Canis lupus familiaris: one gene and its partners. The protein of the gene in region 1 interacts with the protein of each later gene in a biochemical or structural test. Links are inferred from orthologs where the notes say so. Each region holds a gene or a part of one and is shown on either strand. Other genes may lie near its edges. The genes, in order: RANGAP1, RANBP2 and USPL1.

What was found.
Region 2: the proteins of RANGAP1 (region 1) and RANBP2 form a complex in vitro, tested with the Homo sapiens proteins (5 studies listed by BioGRID and IntAct, with this or other methods). The link is inferred for Canis lupus familiaris from reciprocal best matches to the Homo sapiens genes RANGAP1 and RANBP2.
Region 3: of the proteins of RANGAP1 (region 1) and USPL1, one has a biochemical effect on the other in vitro, tested with the Homo sapiens proteins (2 studies listed by BioGRID). The link is inferred for Canis lupus familiaris from reciprocal best matches to the Homo sapiens genes RANGAP1 and USPL1.

Annotation. Positions count from the first base shown.
Region 1 is NC_049231.1:24,911,735-24,915,872, forward strand, and holds the start of RANGAP1 (ran GTPase-activating protein 1), read left to right. Parts: upstream 1-1,224; 5' UTR 1,225-1,334; coding exon 1,335-1,419; intron 1,420-1,800; coding exon 1,801-1,950; intron 1,951-4,138. UniProt on the Homo sapiens protein: GTPase activator for RAN. Converts cytoplasmic GTP-bound RAN to GDP-bound RAN, which is essential for RAN-mediated nuclear import and export. Mediates dissociation of cargo from nuclear export complexes containing XPO1, RAN and RANBP2 after nuclear export.
Region 2 is NC_049231.1:36,158,140-36,161,791, reverse strand, and holds part of RANBP2 (E3 SUMO-protein ligase RanBP2), read left to right. Parts: intron 1-1,597; coding exon 1,598-1,765; intron 1,766-2,423; coding exon 2,424-2,516; intron 2,517-3,088; coding exon 3,089-3,267; intron 3,268-3,652. UniProt on the Homo sapiens protein: E3 SUMO-protein ligase which facilitates SUMO1 and SUMO2 conjugation by UBE2I. Involved in transport factor (Ran-GTP, karyopherin)-mediated protein import via the F-G repeat-containing domain which acts as a docking site for substrates.
Region 3 is NC_049246.1:9,453,162-9,456,301, reverse strand, and holds the end of USPL1 (SUMO-specific isopeptidase USPL1), read left to right. Parts: intron 1-525; coding exon 526-2,405; 3' UTR 2,406-2,593; downstream 2,594-3,140. UniProt on the Homo sapiens protein: SUMO-specific isopeptidase involved in protein desumoylation. Specifically binds SUMO proteins with a higher affinity for SUMO2 and SUMO3 which it cleaves more efficiently. Also able to process full-length SUMO proteins to their mature forms.

The DNA of each region.
Region 1 (4,138 bases):
GGCTGAAGGCAGTGCTAAACCCCCTGAGCCACCCTGGCTGCCCTGTTTGTTTGTTTTTAACCTAGGTACTATGCCCATCCTGGAGCCCAGCATGGGGCTTGAACTTATGACCCTGATATCAAGTCCAGAGCTGAGATCAATAGTTGAACACTTAACCAACTGAGCCATCAGGTGCCCCTCTAACCAATCTGTTTTATTTTTATTTTTATTTTTATTTATTTATTTATTTTTGGACCAATCTGTTTTAAATCGCAACCCCCTCGGGGCACCTGAGTGGCTCAGTGGTTGAGCGTCTGCCTTTGGCTCAGGGCGTGATGCCAGGATCCCAACGTCCTGGGATCGAGTCCCACATCAGGCTTCCCACAGGGAGCCTGCTTCTCCCTCTGCCTACGTCTCTGCCTCTCTTTCTATGTCTCTCATGAATAAATAAAATCTTTATAAATAAATAAATCGCAACCCCCTTAAAACTCCTTACCCCCTTCTCCGTTTGTTTTTCTTATCACTTACACAAATAAGATTCCACATGTCTTATTTAGAACACATGTTTTAAGAGGTGCCCAGCTAGCTCATTTGGTAGAACATGTGACTCGATCTCAGAGTTGTGGGTTTGTGACCCATGTTGGGCATAGAGATTACTTAAAAAAATAAAATCTTAAAAAATAAATAAAAATAAAATCTTATAAAAAAGAGAGAGGGCAGTATTTTTGCTTCATTCACTGCTTGGTTCTGGTATCTAGAGCAACGTCCAGAACATAGTAATACCCAATAAATGTTTATTGAATGAATGAGTGGTGCCTTCTTATCTAGGAGAATAATTCATACATATTTGTAAAAATTGGCAAGCCAGGGTGATCAGGGTTAAGATAAGGAGAAGGAGGTGGGAGGCTGGCTATAGGAGCCCAGAGGAAGCCTGGGGGGAGTTGGAGGATTGGGGAGCCATCACAGTTGTATCTTGAGGACGAATAGATTGGGGAAGGACATGTTCTGGGTAAGGAGTTTTTGTGGGCCCTTCCTCGTTCTGTCTTCCATATCCATCATCCTTGGTCTCCCCTGATGACCTGCCATTTCCTCTTTAGGGAAATGGAGTGGTCTTTCTGCCAATCTGCCGAGTTCTTCCAGGCCAGAAGCTCCTTTCTTCAGCAGCTCTGCCCTTGGTCTATTGTGATGGTGGCTGTTGTGATGTAGAGACCTCTGGTCTCCTAGGAACCCCTGAGGTTTGGCCACCATGGATTGCCCAGTCTTCTGGCTAAGGTTGAAACCAGACGGGCAGTGGGCTGACACCTGTGCCCCATCCCCAGAGACATGCCAGCGTGGGAGGTGGGGCATTTCGCGGGATGGATAACCTGGATCCCTTAGCCATCCTAGTCCTGTTTGAGGAATGGGACCCTCAAACAGAGAGCAGCCAGGATGATCAGGCAGGTGTGTGCCTGGAGTAGGCTCTTTGCATTGCAGCTGTTGGTCTGGGCCCAACTACCATTCACTGGGAGCCCAGAAGATGGGCAGCTCAGATGGCTGTGCTTGGTGTTCCAGCTGGGGCCATTGGGGCAGGCGAGGAGTTAAAATAAGCTAGTAATCCTTCAGGGGCTAAAACATGATTTTACTACTCTTGCCACTTTCTCCACCTTTCTAGAATTGTTCCTTACCTAATAGTGTTTTCATTTCTCCCAGTAGTTTAGCTGTTGGAGTCTCCATGGAGGAGGGGGTGTTAAGCCCCTGAAAGGGCTGATGTCCTACCCGGCCCTCCCCAACCAGGGGGCCCCAGGAGACTCCTGTCTCTTAATGAAACTTCATCCTGCTCAGTTTGCAGATTTCCGGGGGAGCCCAGCAACGTGGCCAGCATGGCCTCTGAAGACATTGCCAAGCTAGCAGAGACACTTGCCAAAACCCAGGTGGCTGGGGGTCAGCTGAGTTTCAAGGGCAAGAGCCTCAAACTCAACACTGCGGAAGATGGTGAGTTCCTGCTTGGGCTGGCCCAGGGGAGGAAAGAGTGTGTGCCAATGACTCTTGTTCCAGCTTGTTTAGCTACATTATCACGTTGTTTGTTACCTAGTAGCTCTGTGAGATAGTTTTGGGTCCCTTTTAGAGTGAGGCTCAAAGATGTGCCCACAAGGACATATATAGGCTTCCCTGCTAGTCATCATGTTTTTGGAGGCCATCCTTGCTGGTGACAGCTTAGGTTGGCTGGTGGAAAGGGCCACTTTATGTCTTAGTGGGAGGAGATAGTAAACAACAAAGGATCACAACAGCAGTGTCAGGGTATAGTCCCTGACTTCTTACTTCCCACCTTTACCACTATGATCCCAGACTGGTTTTGGGAATACTGGTTGGCTTTCCCAGAGGTAAGGCCCTCTTGGGAGGTCTGGTCCGTGCAACTGAATGCCCCTGGAAGAGGGAGGGATGTTCTTGTCCTAGGAACCAGGACTGTAGGGAATTAGGAAGCAGAATGCAGGCCTTGTCTGTTCATCCCTGGCCAAAGCATGGCTAACACTGGTCAACCCTGAATCCCCTGACGTTTGGAAGTGAAGGCACCTACGCCAGCACTTGCAAGGACTCTTGAGGTTCTGGCCCAACCAGGGAAACTGGTATGGACTTGCCCGGTTGTCATGGATTGCAGGCAAGCTTGCTCACCTGCCCTGCCTCAGAAACTGGAGTTCTCAGGTTGTCAGGAGCATGGCAGTGCACATTCCTGATGTCTCTGAAGGGCCTTAACATTTACAGAGTCCCTCCCTGTGCTGTTATCACTTCCGATCACACGTCATCCCTGAGGGGGGGATGTAGAAATGTTACCATTTTATAAATAAGGAGAAGAGATTTGGAAGACCTAACTTGTCCAAGGTCATCTAGCTGGTAAGTAGCAGAGCTGGGATTTTAACAGAGGTCCAGCTAAGTCCCTATTCTTGTGTTTGTCAGTAGACAGCTCAGTTCAGTAAAGATGAATTTGCTTTTTTTTTTTTAAGATTTAAAAAAAAAAAAAAATATTATGTATTCATGAGAGAGAGAGAGAGAGAGAGAGGGAGAGAGGCAGAGACACAGGAGGAGGGAGAAGCAGGCTCTATGCCGGGAGCCGATGTGGGACTTGATCCCAGGGCCCCAGGATCGCGCCCCGGGCCAAAGGCAGGCGTTAAACCGCTGAGCCACCCAGGGATCCCCCTTTTTTTAAGATTTTATTTATTCACGAGAGACAGAGAGGGAGAGGGAGAGGCAGAGACACAGGTAGAGGGAGAAGCAGGCTCCATGCAAGGAGCTCGATGCTTGATGGGACTCGATCCTGGGATTCCAGGATCATGCCCTGGGCCAAAGGCAGGTGCTAAACCGCTCAGCCACCCAGGGATCCCCTGAATTTGCTATTAAATTCCATTCCCTGAATGCTGAGTCAGGCATTCTTTAAGTGCCTGACTTAAGGAAGTTTATCCTCACAAAAGTCCTTGAGGTAGGTCTCATCCCCATTTTGTAGATTGGAAAAGTGAAGCCCTGGGAAATAATAGGACTTGCCTAAGGGCACAGATACAGGTAATGGAGCTAGGATTAGAGCTCAAGCTTGTCTAGCTTTAAAATCTGTGCAGATCACTAATTAACCAGCTCAGGCTGGACATGTTGCCTCCATTTTCTTGGTCACCAGGGATGCCCAGCTTATAGCCCCGGCCTCTGAGGACCTCCTAAGATGGAGTAGGAAGGAGGTACTCAACTGCCAGGGGGTAGAAGGTGAAGCATACTCTGAGCAACGTGAACAGAAAGCTGTGGGAAATACGGCAAGGGAAAGGGATCATTTCTGGTTTAGGAGGGCCCCGGAAGTCCCCATGGATAAGGTGGTTGAACTGTCATTGTAGGGGAGAGGGCAGTAGACGCAGGGAGTATCATGTGAGGGGAGGAGCTGAGACACATAGGGTGGGCTTGGGCGAGAAGGAATCAGGGTGCCATAGGGAGCCCAGTGCAGACAGCCTTGAATGTAGTGTGGAGGAGTCTGGCAGCTGGACCCTGGGCCCAGAAAGGGCCTCCACCTTGGCTGGCAGTGAGCTGGCATAGTCAGGAGAGGGCAAGGCCTGTATGAGGAAGCCATGATGCTTGGAACAAGGCTCTTCTCTCCCCAGTAAGTCATTTAAGGACCAAGGAAAGGCCTTTCTGCTTTCCATGGCTGCAT
Region 2 (3,652 bases), about 11 Mb from region 1:
TCCTGCTTCTGCTCTCTCTCTCTCTTTCTCTGTCAAATAAATACAATCCTAAAAAAAAAATGTATCCCTGGCCTAAGAGCAAATTTACCAGTATAGTACAGTAGGATGAAGAGCCTTATTCTGTTTCAAGTCCAAGAATGTCAGGGCCCCGAAGGACCTTAGGGATGGAGGATATAGACATGAGGAAACAGGCCTGATTGGGCTATCTGAAGTGCCCAAGTTGTCTTTACTAGCTAACAGCAGATTTGGAATAAGAATCTGTATCTTACAGTATTGTAATTGATACCATGTTTTTCTATTTAAGGAGAGTAAAAGGAAAGTTTAACTTTGTAAAAGGGCTCCAGTTCTCTAGATCAGATCAAATATGACCTGTGTATGTAATTTAGAATTTTCTAATAGCCACATTAAAAAACAGAATTTAAAAAAAGTGAAAAAAGGAAGCAGATGAAATTAATTTTAATAATCTATCCAGTTATATCTGAAATACCATTTCAAGTTCTAATCAATACAAAAATTAGAGATTTCATATTTTTTTTGTTTGTTTTTTGTTTTTGTACAAAGTCTTCAAAATCCAGTGTGTATTTTTTTTTTTTTTTTAAGAGGGAGAGCTAGCAAAAGTGTGCTCACAAATGGGAGGGGCAAATAGAGAGGAGAGAGAGAATCTCAAGCAGACTGCACACTGAATGTGGAGCCCCATGCAGGGTTCAATCTTACAACCTGGAGATCAAGACCTGAGCCAAAATCAAGAATTGGACGGTTAACTGACTGAGCCACCCAGGTGCCCCAAGAGTGTATTTTTATACTTGGAGTAGGACTCAGTTTGGACTAGCCACATTTTAAGTGCTTTAATAGCCACATGTGACTAAGGTACCATCTTGGACAGCACCAGTTGGCACATGATTTGTTATCTGTTCCCTTTGCCAGATACTCTTCTTTATAGACAACAGCATATCATATGAAGAATCCCTTTTTTTTCTTTGTGTTTTGCTTTTGTTGTTTTTCAGCTATTAAAATGATCTTAGATTCCTACAGTATTACTTACCCCTAGGATAACAGTGGGTTTTGATTTGGTTTTATATGTTATCTGCTTGGAAATATGCAAAACTGGTATAACTGATCACTCGCCATCCTTGACAATTGTTAACTTTCCTTGTAGGAACTAATCAAGGTTAGCTTTGCATTAGTTTCGTATTGATACTAATCTATGCTCATGATTTCTGTAAGTTTTTTCCATTGTTGCAAATGCATGGATATTTTGCTAAACTATTGTTTAGCATGCCAAATATGGTTATGGCAACACTCTATAAATACCTTTTACAATTATAACCATTAATAGTAGTTTTTCTTGATCAGTGAGTAAATGAAATATTTTTTTGGTTTTAAATAGATTCCTTGTTCATTAAGGGTTTTTGACAGAATGTTAAGTCAGGCTTATAATTCTTTACAGAGCTCTGTCTACATCACAATTGGTGTTTTCATCACCATGCTATATTATAACCTAAAGATAAGTCCCATGGTTTTTATTTTCAGTTAGGATATTGATGTTAATACCTATGTAATATCTTGTCTTTATAATTTTTTTGGACTTGTTTTATAGCAAAAGAGAAGGAAAAACCTGAAGATCCTTCCTCAGATGATGATGTTTTCATTGTATATGAGTTAACGCCCACCCCTGAGCAAAAAGCTCTTGCAAGCAAACTTAAACTTCCTCCAACTTTCTTCTGCTATAAGAATAAGCCAGATTATGTTAGTGAAGAAGAGGATGGTAAGCCTTTTGTTATTTTAAACACATAACATTCTTTTCATGCTAGTCTTAGTAATTGGGGGGTATATTTAAATCATTTTTAAGATTGCCTCTTAGAACCCATCACTGCTGTCTTTGTAGGTAGTTGTCTATATGTATATAAATAGTCAATGGATGTAATGATTGAAACAACTGCACTTACCAAGTGAGGATTTTATGGATGCCTACTATGAGTTGAGCAGGCATTTTTGAGAGAATTGAAAACAGTCCTAATTTCCCTGTAGACTTAGAGGGATCAGAGAGTAATGAGGCAGATGGGTGTTTGATTATGGAAAACTTTGTGAGCCATATCAGAATTTTTTAGCCAGGGTCGTACCATGTTCAGAAAGTTTCAGTAGGACCAGTTGAATTTAGTAGTGTAAAGGATTGGGTTGTGGGACATGGAGACAGGAAGATGAACTGAAATAATAGAGTAGCTCAAACAAGAGAGCCTGAATGAAATTTCTGTAATGTTAGGAGAGGTATTAGGAAGATAGAATTGGTACAATTGGGTGTTTTTTCAGTGTGGGGAGTAAGGGAAGGTATGAAGTTGGAGGATAATTTCTAGATTTGTGGCTAGAAAAATTCCTGGAACTTACTAGAAACTTTTTTTATTTAATAAAATCAATTATAATTTAAGATGAAGATTTCGAAACAGCTGTCAAGAAACTTAATGGAAAACTCTATCTGGATGACTCAGAAAAATGTAGACCATTAGAAGAAAAGCTAACAGGTATGTTTTTTAGTATATGTGCTGCCGAAGCGAGCACGCTAACAGGTATGTTAAATTAAAATTGCTAGTTATGCTAAGTTAAAATTACTTATAATTTTTATACATTTATTTATGAGAGGGAGAGAGAGAAAGAAGAGGGTGGAGAAGTAGAGGGAGAGGGAGACAGAGAATCTTAAGCAGCCTCCATGCCCAGTGCGGAGCCTGATGCAGGTGTTGATCTCAGAACCCTGAGCCGAAATCAAGAATCGGATGCTTAACCAACTGAGCCACTCAGGCATCCCACTCTAGTTAAAATGTGTTTTTAAAAAAATCTTCTGTTTAAAAGGAATCTTCTAATCTGATCATTTTTATAATTACCAGTTTTACTCATGTACTATTCCTACGGGTGATTTAAAATATTTGAAAATAACATGAAGTGTAAAACATTGTTTTCATGGGTATCCTTGTTCTCCGTTAGCATTCATAGGTATTGCTATCTGGGTCTGTAATCTGTAAATTGTATTGAGGATCTCTTTTGGAGAGTAGTTGGACTTCTATAACTTTCTTTTGCTTTTATTCTGTGGGATTTTCAGATAATGAAAAAGAATGTGTTATTGTTTGGGAAAAGAAACCAACAGTTGAAGAGAAGGCAAAAGCAGATACGTTAAAGCTTCCACCTACATTTTTTTGTGGAGTCTGCAGTGATACTGATGAGGACAATGGAAATGGGGAAGACTTTCAGTCAGAATTTCAAAAAGTTCAGGACTCTCAGGTAAGAGCATCTCCATTATTTTCCTTCTGGCTCAGTTGCTTTTGTTGATGGCAGTAGACTAGAATGTTCTTACCAAATGGTAATAATGTGTCATGGTTAGAAAATAGGTGTCTATTTACTAATCAGCTTTGGCCAAAGGAGGAGGAATTTTGTTCTACATAGAGGACTGTAAAGGTTCATCCTTATGTGTATGTTGGATTTTTGTGGGGATGGGAGAAATTGACTGAGTAGATATCCCTAAGAGTGTTATTACCACAATACCAAGATTGATATTAAGTAGTTCATTTTTCATGAGTTTATTTTGTGATGGGCAGAGTGGATACGAAGTAGCATTTGAGACTCAGTTCCCTTGGCCTATACCTTGGTTTGTCAGTTTCGTCATTTG
Region 3 (3,140 bases), on another chromosome or scaffold:
TCCTAACCAAAAAAAGGAAAAGAAGAATTGAACTAAATTAACAATTGAAGCAAATATTGGTACTTGAGGTTACAGGCTTCATTTATCTTGAAAATTCGTGTAAAAGGAAAAACTTAATCAGTTTTCTGATATTGTTGGGTAAATTGGGTGATAATACTGTGATTTTTTTTTTTAAAGACCTTATTTATTCATGAGAGAGACAGAGAGAAAGGCAGAGACACAGGCAGAGGGAGAAGCAGGCTCCATGCAGGGAGCCAGATGTGGGACTCGATCCCTCCCTGAGCCAAAGGCAGACACTCAACTGTTGAGCCACCCAGGTGTCCCAGTCTGTAACTTTTATTAGCCAAATAAGACTTTAGCCTTTGGCAGAGAAAAATGGTGACGTAAGGATAAGACCATGTTCTCTAATGTTCTCCTTTGCTGGATATTCAGGGATATAGCTGAAAAGTGAACCTAAGCCAGAAGAAAGTGAACCTAAGCTGGTGAGTTTTGAATGTCTAACCTTATTACTTCCTCATCCCCTAGGAAGTTGGCTTGAATGTGATGACCTAAAAGGCCTACGTTCTGAAAGACGTGAGAAATTTGAAGTTCTTGGTTCAGAGATACATATTGTTATTTGGGAAAGAAAAACATCCCAAATGACAGATAAAGCATCTGCCTGCCTTCCACTTAAAAAGAGTAATGATGAGCCTGCTTTCAGTGATGAGAAACCAGCCTCTCCAACATCGTGTTCTGTGGGTGATACTGCCACTGCTGGGCCGTCCTCAAGAACTCTCCCCACTGATGTGGCAATTGCTCCTAGCAGTCTCTCGCAGGGTGAAGCTGTAGCTTGTGGACATCATTTATTTTCAGGTCCAGAAGATTTGGTTGACAGTGATATTTTGTCTTTGACACTTGAAGAAATACAGATTAACTCTGAACATTTCCTAAATGAACATGTTGCAGAAAATGCAGGAGTCTGCAAAACAAATACTTCGCAATCACAAGAGTCACGAGTGGCTTCTTTATTATCAGCTCCATGTGTTGAAAAGCTTACTCAAGACCAAGTCATGGATTTAAGCTTTCCATCTCAAATTGTAGATGCAAACATGCAGTTGGCACAGATGAATACAAAAGACGTAATTACTAAACCTGTGAATAGTACTCATGCTACTGATCCTCCTATACATGGAATAAAGCCAATAGAAGTTGAGGGTACGGTTGCCCTAGAGGACACTCCATTAAAACAATTTCTTTCACCCAAAACTGAGAAATTAAAACCAGAACAACCTGTTACAACTCAGGTATCTAATTTGATGAAAAATGAAACTGCAACATTTTCTCAAAGCATGATAATGAAGCCAGTACAGAATCCAACTCTGAAAGAAACTCAGAAGAAACCATTTGTAGGAAGTTGGGTTAAAGGCTTATTAAGCAAGGGTGCTTCTTTTATGCCACCTTGTGTTTCAGCTCATAATAGAAACACTGTAACTGATTTGCAGCCTTCAGTTAAGGGGGCAAGTAATTTTGGTGGTTTTAAAACAAAAGGCGTAAACCAAAAGGCTAACCGGGCTTCTAGGAAAGTTAATAGGTGTGCAAGTAAACCTCCTACAGTTAGTAATTCTCTATCAAGCCGTCCATCATCTGGTAGCATGACTTCTCATGTATGTGCTGCTAATGTTATTGCTGATTCAGATGTTTTGAAGAAATGTGAAAATGCCTCATATGGAGCTCACCGCAGTCACGATTCTTATATAAAAGAAAATGGTATTTCTTCAGCAAACCATGAAGACTCTGTTGAGGGTCAGATTCATAAACTTCGTCTAAAACTTCTTAAAAAACTTAAGGCAAAAAAGAAGAAATTAGCTGCTCTTATGTCTTCCCCCAAAAAAGGAACACTTCCAAGTGAAAAATTAGAACATGTGTCCCATTGTGGGTCTCGAAACAATTGTGAATCAATAGAAGACTTGTTAAAAGAACTACAGTATCAAATTGATACTGCTGACAATAAATCCGGGTGCACCAGATTTCCATACAGTAGTCAAAGTCATGAAGAAATTTTAGCAGAATTATTGTCTCCTGCAACTGTTGTCTCAACAGAGCACTCAGAAAATGGGGAGGCAGACTTTAGATACTTAGAAATGGGAGATGACAACGTCCCAGCACCAGTGTCTACTGAATTAAACAATATTCCCCAAAACACACATCTGAAACAGGACCATAATTACTGTAGCCCCACCAAGAAAAATCAGTGTGAAGTTCAGCCAGACTCACTGACAACTAATGTCTGCATTAGGGCATTGAACTTGGAAAGTTCCATGAAGACTGATATTTTTGATGAGTTTTTTTCCACTTCAGCATTAAATTCTTTAGCAAATGACACAGACTTACCTCATTTTGATGAATATCTGTTTGAGAGTTGTTGAGTGCATGTTACCTCTTTTTAGTTTAATATTTATTACTGCTCTTGGGAAAACTTACTATGTTATTAAGTAGTGTTTACACACTGGCCTTGTCATGAACAAAATATAAGCTACTGAAGATTTTACCTTTGGTTCTACTCACAAAGCATGTCATCTATTTTATAAATTAAAATGATCGAGAATTTGTTTTCCTTGTTTGCCTCATTTTTGTCTTGTGGTAGAATGAGGATTTCAGAATGTTACAAATGAAAAGTAGTATCTAGTTTCTGACAATCTGGTACATAAAATTTCTACATTTTAATTTTGGTTACACTGGGGATCCCTGGGTGGCGCAGCGGTTTGGCGCCTACCTTTGGCCCAGGGCGCGATCCTGGAGACCCGGGATCGAATCCCACATCAGGCTCCCGGTGCATGGAGCCTGCTTCTCCCTCTGCCTGTGTCTCTGCCTCTCTCTCTCTCTCTCTCTGTGACTATCATAAATAAATAAAAATTTAAAAAAAAAAATTTTGGTTACACTGGTTCAGGAAAAACACTAGTTTGTACAAACTTAAGTCCTTGTATATGGCATACAGAATGTGTGACTGGTAATGATTCTGTGATCATATAAGACCCTAAACCTGTTTTCTTATACCAGTTGAGTACTTTGGAATGTAAACTTACCCCCCATACAACTTTCCTTCTCTACCTATAAAAGATGGCAGGAAACCTTGTTACTAGAATTTTTAAGTAATGTTACAT